Linked DNA regions of Caenorhabditis elegans. The protein of the gene in region 2 binds, or shares a complex with, the protein of the main gene of each other region. Each region holds a gene or a part of one and is shown on either strand. Other genes may lie near its edges.

Region 1 (4,683 bases), 6.0 Mb from region 2:
GACGCTCGATTCCACCGTCAACTTTGTGAAGTACATCTGGATATTCGTAGCTCATTCCAACGTTGTTAATAAGAACTCCGATCTCTACTTGGTTCAAGGTGGCGAGAAGATCTTTGTAAGCAGAAGGAGCAGCGTTGGTGAAGTCGAAGGCGGCAGTGCGGACCTCAATGCTGGAATACTTCTCGAGAATCTCCTTCTTCGTCTCATCGAGTTTTGATTGGGTACGCGAAACGAGCAGGACATTGAATCCACGACGAGCCAATTCGAAGGCGTATGCTTTTCCGATTCCGTCAGTGGCTCCGGTGACAACTGAAAAATGTATTTTTTGTTTGAAATTCAAAACAATTATTTTATATTTACGCAACAATTTTTTCATTGCAATTTTATTATCAATTGAAAATGATAACAGTTCCAGAGAACCAAAAGTAGTTCTCTGAGTGCTATACGATAAGACATCACCAGAGTAAAAATATAGAAACGAACCAGCCCAAGAAGCTCCAGCTCTTTTCTTCAAATCGATTGGCGACAGAAGAACGTATGGGCCCAAAATATTCGAGAAAATCGTCAAAAGACGATAAGCCACAGCTGCAAGAGCCACGTATCCGGCTCCAACCAAGAAGCACTGGCAAGCCATGTTACCTGGAATTTACAGAATTTCAATGGAAATAACAGGCAGAAAAGATGCAAGGTGCATAAATTATACACTATTTATTTACCGTTTTCAAGATTATCTATATCATGTAAATTGTCAGACGACTCCATTATTTCTTGTAACTATTTATTTATGACGAAAACATATGAAAACTAAAAATTTTCATGAGGTCACGTTTTTACTTTTTTGAAACTCATGCACTCCAATAAACTTTGAAAAATATAAAACTAATCGCTACTATTACGAGTTCTTTCCGAAACTTTCAAATTGATGGTAAAAAGGGTTTATTTGCAGTACTTTACAATGAATAAATAAGTTCTCGAAATGGAATAAAAATGGGGACGTCTTGAAGGTCGAATAAATGAAAGAGAGCGAAGAGAAGTGGTCGATAAACATCGCTCTACTATCTTATCACACCATTTCTGGCATGATGAAGAAATACTAAAGGGACGAGTCGGAAAAAGAGGAACACGGAGAACACAGTTTAAGGGGGAATATGCACAAAAGTGATGAAGAATTTGTTTATTCAGAGAGTTTAATCGACATCCATATCTTCGTTGTCTGGACGGTTGCGCTTTGGCTCTGGTTCGCGAGTGGCGTCATCGTCCGAGTTTTCTGCAAACAATTAACAATGGTTATTGATGTTTTTATCAAAAGTACAGAGGTTTACGGTACTGTAAAAATTGTTTTTGAAATAGCAAATGGATAGGTGTTAAGTGTTAAGAGCAGCAAAATTTTACAAGGAATGGCGCAATGGTCATAGTGCGAAAGGAAACAAAAGGACAATCACAATTAGTGACATATTCAAAAATGAGTAAAAACTCAACAACTGAGAGTGCGCCGTACCTAGCCGAGACACCGTTGCCGCAATTGAGGGGGAAAAGAAGCCGAGATAAGCGGACGGCATCACAGCTCTCCGGCAGATCGGGTTATCAACCCGTGCTGAACGAACGTGAGACTATGTTTCAGAATTTCAAGTAAACTTACGAGTCTTGGCAGCATCTTCTCCTCCCTCAGCCTTTGTGAGATTAGCAGCAAAACCACGAATATCACCTTGATTCGCGGAGCCAACTGTGGCTTCATCCATTCCGAACTGTGCAACTACTGGCCCGAGTTGACCAGTTTGAAGTGCATGTCCAAGTGTATCAGCAGCCTGAAAATAGAGAACAGTTAAAATATAATATGCTTTAAAAACCAACTTGTCTGAATTGCGGAGTTCTGACTGTCTCAGAAAGCTCCCGGGCTGGATCATCAGAAGTTGGAAGATGCGGTGCGAGCTCTTCAGCGTGGTTACGAGCAACTTCAGCAACCGTTTCATTCGACAGAGCAGTTGCCAGAGAGACTGCCACCTCTTTCTTTTGTGAGCGTCCCAAGTTGTTGAAGATTTGTTGAATCGCCGGGTTATTCAAGGAAAGTGGATTTGAAGATCCTTCCTCAGCTGCATTCGTCGAAGGCTCGCAGTCTGCTTCTGACGATGCGTCCTCTCCTCGAGGCACGGAAGAAATTGGAAGAGTGTCAGAGTTTCCGCCTTGCAGAGATTGAATCAATGACATCAATTGCCCTTGATCGATGCCTCCAAGGGGAGCATTCATGTCTGAGCTAGAGATAAGTGATCCTCCAGCAGACTGACGATCAGTGTTTGCGTTAGAACCAGCCGATCGGGAAGCAGCTGGACGAGATGTCGGCGGCTTGTTCAGAGCGTCAGTGACCTTCTTCACAAGATCCTTGTCAACGTCTGGTGTTGAATCTTGAATCCAAAAAAGCTTCATATCTCCAGATTTGAACTTGAGCATATACACTTTGCCATCAGGGCATCCAGGAACAGCTTTGAATTCAGCGTCATCGGGGAAGATTATGAGGTCATCAACAACTGCGCCAGTTTCACGATCCTTCCAGCAAAAGTGGATGAGCATGTCGTTACTTTGCTTAATGAATACCAATCCCTTTTTGGGTTCAGCAACAACTTTTCTCATAGTATCTCCGGATCCAGCTTCAAGGCGAGAGCGTCCAGCTTTGAATTCGACAATATGGCCAGAAGAGGAAGCGACCGAGCGAGTATTACTGAACATAGCAGCCATCTCTGAAATAAATAAATGAATGTTTGATAAGGAAGCTGAAAATACCAAGATGAAAAAATAGAGAACAAACTTGCAAAATTACGAGGAATGAATATCACAAATAAACTGAAGTATTGATAATTGATTTGGAAAGTAACATGTCGGACAGAAACAAATTATTTCCCGTCAAAAAAAATTAAATTCAAATAACTAGTAAAAATATAATGTCTTTTTTAATATTTAAAAGATAACTCGAATTGAAGAAACAATTGTTAACAATATTGTTCCAAATTTGGCTAAAAAAGGATGACTTTTCTCGTGGTGCATTTGCTCGTGGTGTTCAGTGCTTGCGTACAAAACGCTGTTTCCGAATGCACACCGTACATGCGATATTTTGTCACGTTTTGTGTTCTATTTTTCTGTATTTAACTTGTCCTCCGCTCGTTTTAAGACGAATTTGCCTCATTATTTTTTTACCCAATATCTTAAAAATCAAACCACTTTATTCAATACATTATTTTGACAAAATCGGTCTCTGCAAAATTTGAGAATGCCAATTACCGATTAGTATTAGTATTTTTAAAACAAATTCACTGGGTATACACGATGAGTATTAAAACATATTAGTTTAGTTGTCAATATCATCCAGTTCAAAGCTGTTTTTGCTCTTTTTCTTCATCTCCTGAGCCTCCTTCATCTGAGAGAATGGCCCACTTGCCGAACCAAGTGAGGTCTTGCTTTCCTTTGATTTCAATGTTTTCGTTTTACCCGTCTTCATAGTGGTCGAGTCGGTTGTGATGTCAACTTAAAAAGTAATTTTAGATGTCTACGTGACTTTTTTTTAAAGATCTACCGATGTTGCGCATCATAGTTGCTGCCTCAAAGATCCCGAGACCAACATTTTGGGGACTTCCTAGTCCTGGAGATTCCAAACTATTGCTCCGCTGCGAGGAAATCGTTTCCTTCTCTTTCTCCACACCACCCTTTCCTACATTCAGCGACATCGTTGACGGTTTTTGGTCGCTTTTCTTGATAGATTTTCTTTTCTAAAATTTCAGATAATCAACTATTTTTTCAACAAATTAAAAATTGACTTACCGGGTTCTTGGTCTCCATCTCCGACATGTACTCTGATAGATTGATGATTTTATGAACACTTTTCCTTCGGTTTAACTCACTTTTGTCGTTTTTTGCCTGATCCGATAGTTTCAGATCACGAGTTTTTGCATCCAGGTCATCGAAGATCAATTCTCCATTCTTCTCGGTTCTCTGGAACATTTTTTTCTGATTGAAATTCGTAACCTTGTCGGGTAACGGTTCGTTTTTGAATACAGATAAGAACAAACCTTTGCTTCTTCCTGCTTCTTCTTATGCTCGCTGAACATGGTGTTAGCCGTTAGATGGTGTAGTTTGTAGCAAGTGGCTGAAGCAAAATTGAATAAACCTTTTCTCACGATATTGAGAAAAATAATTAAATCTGAATGCTCAGCTCTAATTTTTTTGTAAAAAATTTATTTGATCAGAATAAGAAGTGATACGCGACTACCAAGAATAGAAGAAAAAATGAAGGGGCGAACGAGTTATGTGTTGAACGCCACAAATTAAATGGAGAACACTAATTTGTACTCGAATTTTGCTTTCCCGTTGACTCATGACAGTGGGAAAATGGGTGGGAGTTTTTCATGAAACTACACGAGATTTATGATAGAAGTTTAAAAAATAATGTCCTACTCAGTCTGAAAAACATTCAGAAAATTTTGGTGATTTTTTTAAATAAGAAATTGTCCAACAAAAAAGACTTTACGAGGATGCAAATATACGAAAGAAGCCTGTCTCGTTTAAAATTACTATTGGGTTCTTTTCAATATTTATATTTTTAAGTCCTTCTAGGGTCATGGAATGTGGCTTTGAAGACTCTTGTCATTCTCTTCCTGGATTGATCGTGGGAAGACCCACAAGAATAAGCCCGTTCTC
Region 2 (4,928 bases):
CTAGCTTGAAGTCGACAAAAATTCGATGATAAATATTACAAAACCACAAAATGCCGAGAATGCGTACTGTGCAACACATTTGACGCGCAAAATATGGAATATCTCGTAGCGAAAACTACACAGTAATCCTTTAAATAAGACTACTGTAGCACTTGTGTCGATTTACCAGCTTTGATAGAGCCCGTAAATCGACACAAGCGCTACAGTAGTCATTTAAAGGATTACTGTAGTTTTCGCTGCGAGATATTTCATATGTTGCGCGTCAAATGTGTTGTGCAATACGTATTCTCAGAATTTAGTGCTACCGTAATAGTTTCGCTTTAAAAAAAAAAAGAAAAAATCCCAAAAAATCACATTTTCCCATTTCAGGTTCTCGACTTCCACAATGTAAAATTCCAAGACTACAACGTTCTGACCGATCAGGAGCTAAGAGAAGGTGTCAAGATTTTCAGCGAATGGCCAACAATTCCACAAGTCTATGTGAAGGGAGAGTTCGTCGGCGGATGTGATATTCTCATTTCAATGCACAAAGACGGAGAGATTTCCGACTTTTTAGACGAAAAGGGAATCTCGAATAAATATGGGAAGCAATGAATAATCCTGTTAGAAATTTAGACGTTTTTTTTTCGAATAAAGATTGCATTATTCAGCAAAAGAAGGAGAGCACGGGAGGTCAAAGACAATAAATAAATAGGGTCCATTTTTTACAATAAAATCAGTGAAAGGGGGGGGGGGGTAATCGATAAAAAAAGTCGAAATTTGCATTTTTATTTTTACTTCCACAACTTCTTGATGGACATATTCTTCTCCGAATCCTTCTGCATAACCTTTCCAACAGCCATCTCGAAATCCTCCTGCGTCACATGAATACGTCGCTCACGGAGCGCGAACATGCCAGCCTCGGTACACACCGACTTGACTTCGGCTCCCGATGCTCCGGGAATTTGCTCGGCGATCTTGGCCATGTTGATACCTCGCATCAAGTTCATCTTGCGCGAGTGAATCTTGAGGATATCGGCACGAGCCTTCTCATCTGGAGCCGGGAACTCAATCTTACGATCGATACGGCCGGGACGGAGAAGTGCGGGGTCGAGAATGTCGATACGATTGGTTGCCATGATGACCTGAACATTTATATATAGAAGCTTGGAATATTTATAGGTGGACTACGCTAAGTGGGATGACCGAATATTATGATTTAAAAAATTCAAAAAAATTTTCTAGATTTTATATGCTTTTTTGTTTTGAAAATTGAAAAAATCTCAGTTTTCCCCTAATTCCTATTTAAATTACTGCCAATTTAACTCGTTCGTTGGGGCGCGCTTGTAGTATTTTCATTAATTTTTTAAAATTTATTCTCATTATTTCACTGATTTTCTTCATTTTTTGAAGTTTTTTAATCGGAAAATAAACGAAATAAACAAGACAAATGCAAAATGTTTGTTAAAAAGTCCGAAAAATATTAATTTCAGGCTCGTCGTCGTCGGAACACATAATTTCACCTGTTTTAGGCATTTTCAGTTATTTTTTAATGAACAATTTGCATTTTTCTTATTTATTTCTTTCATTTTCCGATGAAAAAACCCCAAAAAATGAAGAAAATCAGTGAAATAATGATGAGAATAATTTTTTTAAAAAATTAATAAAAATAATGCAAGCGCGCTCCAACGAACGAGTTTAATTGGCGGTAATTTAAATAGCAATTAGGGAAAACTGAAATTTTTTCAATTTTCAAAAAATTATATAAAATCTAGAAAAAATGTTTTTTTTTGAATTTTTTAAATCCTGATATTCGGTCAATATGCTCCTTTTGCACACCTTAATATTCTTCGTCGCCTCAAATCCATCCAGTTGATTGAGAAGCTCGAGCATTGTTCTCTGAACTTCCGAATCTCCACCACTGGATCCTTCAACTCTGCTAGATCCGATCGAATCGATTTCATCCATGAAAATGATCGATGGAGCATGCTCACGAGCCATCACGAAGAGCTCACGAACCATTCGTGCTCCTTCTCCAATAAACTTCTGCACCAACTCGGAGCCGGAAACTCGAATAAACGTGCACTCGGTGTGATGAGCAACTGCACGAGCCAACAGTGTTTTTCCAGTTCCTGGTGGTCCAAAGAGCAAGACTCCTTTTGGCTGAGCAATACCAAGAGCATCGAAGAGCTCGGGATGCTTGACTGGCAGCTCGATAACCTCCTTGATCTCCTTGATCTGCTTGTCGAGACCTCCAACCATCTCGTATGTTGAATCAGGAACCTTTTCGACCATCATAAGCGAAACCAGCGGGTCCACCTTATTCGGAAGAAGCTTATGAAGAGCATAGCTGTCGGCTCGGAGTGCAACACGTGCTCCTGTGTTCAGTGAGTTGATATCAATGGATTTATCCACGTCGACGACATATTTTCCTTCTGGATGAACTTTCACAAGAACTTTCTTCTTATCCATGGCTTTGCTCACTTCACCGACGTAACTTCCTTGCTCGTGGAGCTGCTGAAGCTCTTCTTTCAGCATACGAACTTTTGTGTTGAGCTCATTACGCTGAGCTTGCAGACGACGCACATTTTGTGATTTGTCGGCCACTTTTTGCTGAAATACTTGATAAACCCTTGGGCTAAACTTTTTAAAAAATACAACAAACCTGCGCATCATCGACTTTTGTGCTGAAATATTTGCGAAGAGTTTTCTCATCGGATTCTTCGGTCAATTTTTGAGCCGTTGGCTTAGAAGGGTCAGCTGATGAAGCAGTAGAAGCAGGTGGAGCCATTAACACTGGAAAAAATAAATAATAGCTTTAAATAAGTTGAGACTAATAAAAACTGAAATAACACGACAAGAAACGTGTGGATCTCTCATTTTTCCCTGGAAATTGAATTTTCAAGCCAATTTATCGAAAAAATCGCCTAAAAAAACGAATTCAAACCTTGAAAACTGATAAAAATTGAGAAACTTTAAAAATGATGATATTTCAACCGGAGAACCAATATGGCGTCAATTGTGGCGCCACGTACGCAATGCTGTACACGCCGACGCAAAAATGCACAGTTGTGTTTACGTTAAATTTAAAGAAATATTAGATTGATTTCCTCGTTTTCATGTTAATTTCTTGATGTTTTTCTTCGAAATTTAGAAAATTAAAGATTTTTCGTCCAATTTACTGTTTTTATCTTCAAAATTACCCGCAGAAATTTGTTATAAACCTTTATTTAGATCTGGAAATGCGTTTTTTTCTGAAACTTCCTCAAATCATTTAGAAAATATTAATATTTGAAGAGGAATATTTTTAGAGTATCCAGTATTTCAATTTTCTGTGGAATTGAGAAAAATTACTGTTTCTGTTTTTTTTTTTTTTTGAAATTTCAACTTGAACAGTAATCAGATTTTTTACTATTAGTGCAATTTCTTTGAATATTTTAAATAAAAAATCCTCCTCGATCCCAAGAAACTCCAATTTTTACTATATTTTCTCAAGAAATGCGTTCAAAGTCCGCAATCGCGCGAGAGCAGCGGCGACACTGAAGAGACCGCAGAGAAGCGGCACGCATTTCGGAAATAGTGTGTGTTTGCAAGAGAGTGGCCCCCCGATTAAACTAGCGCGCGTAAAATTTTTGCATTTTGTTGTTTCGTTCCGTCTGGAAAATTCGAATTTCGCAGCATTTTAATTCATATCTCAGCTCATTTCGCATATTTTTTCCTGAAAATTTCCAGTTTGGTCCGTTACCTTATTCCGGTTAATATACTCGAATTTCATAAAAATCTACGGATGAATCGCTAAGTTATCGCTAGAAATGAAATTCTTTAAAAAATTTTGCCCGATTAGTAATTTTTCTGAAAATCCACGTGGATTCAGGATCCTTCGCGACCTGAAGTTTAAAGTTAATTTTCCAGATTTTCAATGAGGATTTTTGAAAGATTTGATATTTCTTGGCATAAGTTTTCCAGCTTTAATCCGGATTTGGTCCAGACCCCACAAAATCGATACGACAAAAGGGGGGAGGAGGCGGAGACTTGGCACAATGCCAAGTCTTTGCTCTCTGTGTCGTCACGTGTCTTCGTGTTGGCTGAGTATCAAACGTTATAGTGTGGACACCAATTTGGCTTCGTACTTCTTACTCGTTCCCGCCCCGCCCCGACACCATTCGAATATATATTGTCAGTTGTTCTGTTTGTCGTCGTGATGAGAGGTGCGTGCGTGTGCGCGCGCGCTCTCCCAACTTTTCGGACCATTTTGCGGGCTTTATACTGCAATTTGGCTCATTTCTTCTCCTTTTTTTTCCACAGGCTTATTTTGTACTCTCGAGTTGACAGCCTTTTTCGGTATAGGTTGGAAGTAGTCCATTAAAGTAGATGTTTCTTAAGAATTTATCGGCTTAGCATCGATTTCGACCTAGTTAGATGCCACGTTTATGCGCGAAGCGGCCGCGTCGCGGCGAGAATTTCAGTGCGGTTTTACGGGATTATCCATTAAAATCAGGAAAATCAGCAGAAAACTTCTTAACAAAACTAATTTTTTTAGAAAAGAATTTAGAAATACGTAGTCTTGAATAATTCAGCAACTTTTTCAAATTTTATGAGAATTTCGCAATTTCCTACACCTCCTATTTCATCATCACTTCCGAAATCCTACGTTATCGATCGAACACGCGACGCGACCGCAGCGCACCTACTAAGCGCGCGCATTTCGACCGTGACGCGACCGCAACGCGGTGGTGTCAGGGTGCGCGCGCTTTTTCAATCATATGTGGTGCGGTCGATTCCTTCATTCATCCTTCTGTATGCAGCTGCTCATCAGTTTATTGAGCATCTGCTGTACCAATTCGTACTTTAAATTAAATATTAAGAGTACATTTTCTGTGTGCTCTGTATATAAATGTCTAGAATAAACTGCAAACAAGAATTCTTGGCTCCATCTTTCCCTGAATCAA

What was found.
Region 1: rpt-6 (region 2) and rpn-13 share a complex: the UniProt entries of both Caenorhabditis elegans proteins name them as parts of the 19S proteasome regulatory particle complex.

What each region holds. Positions count from the first base shown.
Region 1 is NC_003281.10:6,339,194-6,343,876, forward strand, and holds rpn-13 (Proteasomal ubiquitin receptor ADRM1 homolog), read right to left. Parts: upstream 2,736-4,683; 5' UTR 2,731-2,735; coding exon 1,852-2,730; intron 1,806-1,851; coding exon 1,640-1,805; intron 1,595-1,639; coding exon 1,499-1,594; intron 1,268-1,498; coding exon 1,188-1,267; 3' UTR 920-1,187; downstream 1-919. Other genes in the region: Very-long-chain 3-oxooacyl-coA reductase let-767, read right to left, coding at 1-309, 484-639, 717-762; C56G2.9 (DUF4604 domain-containing protein), read right to left, coding at 3,338-3,513, 3,563-3,755, 3,808-3,839, 3,888-3,978, 4,056-4,094. UniProt on the Caenorhabditis elegans protein: May function as a proteasomal ubiquitin receptor. May promote the deubiquitinating activity associated with the 26S proteasome.
Region 2 is NC_003281.10:12,368,303-12,373,230, reverse strand, and holds rpt-6 (26S proteasome regulatory subunit 8), read right to left. Parts: upstream 2,776-4,928; 5' UTR 2,771-2,775; coding exon 2,645-2,770; intron 2,593-2,644; coding exon 1,819-2,592; intron 1,125-1,818; coding exon 774-1,124; 3' UTR 623-773; downstream 1-622. Other genes in the region: glrx-5 (Glutaredoxin-related protein 5, mitochondrial), read left to right, coding at 370-594; his-72 (Histone H3.3 type 2), read left to right, coding at 4,181-4,187. UniProt on the Caenorhabditis elegans protein: Component of the 26S proteasome, a multiprotein complex involved in the ATP-dependent degradation of ubiquitinated proteins.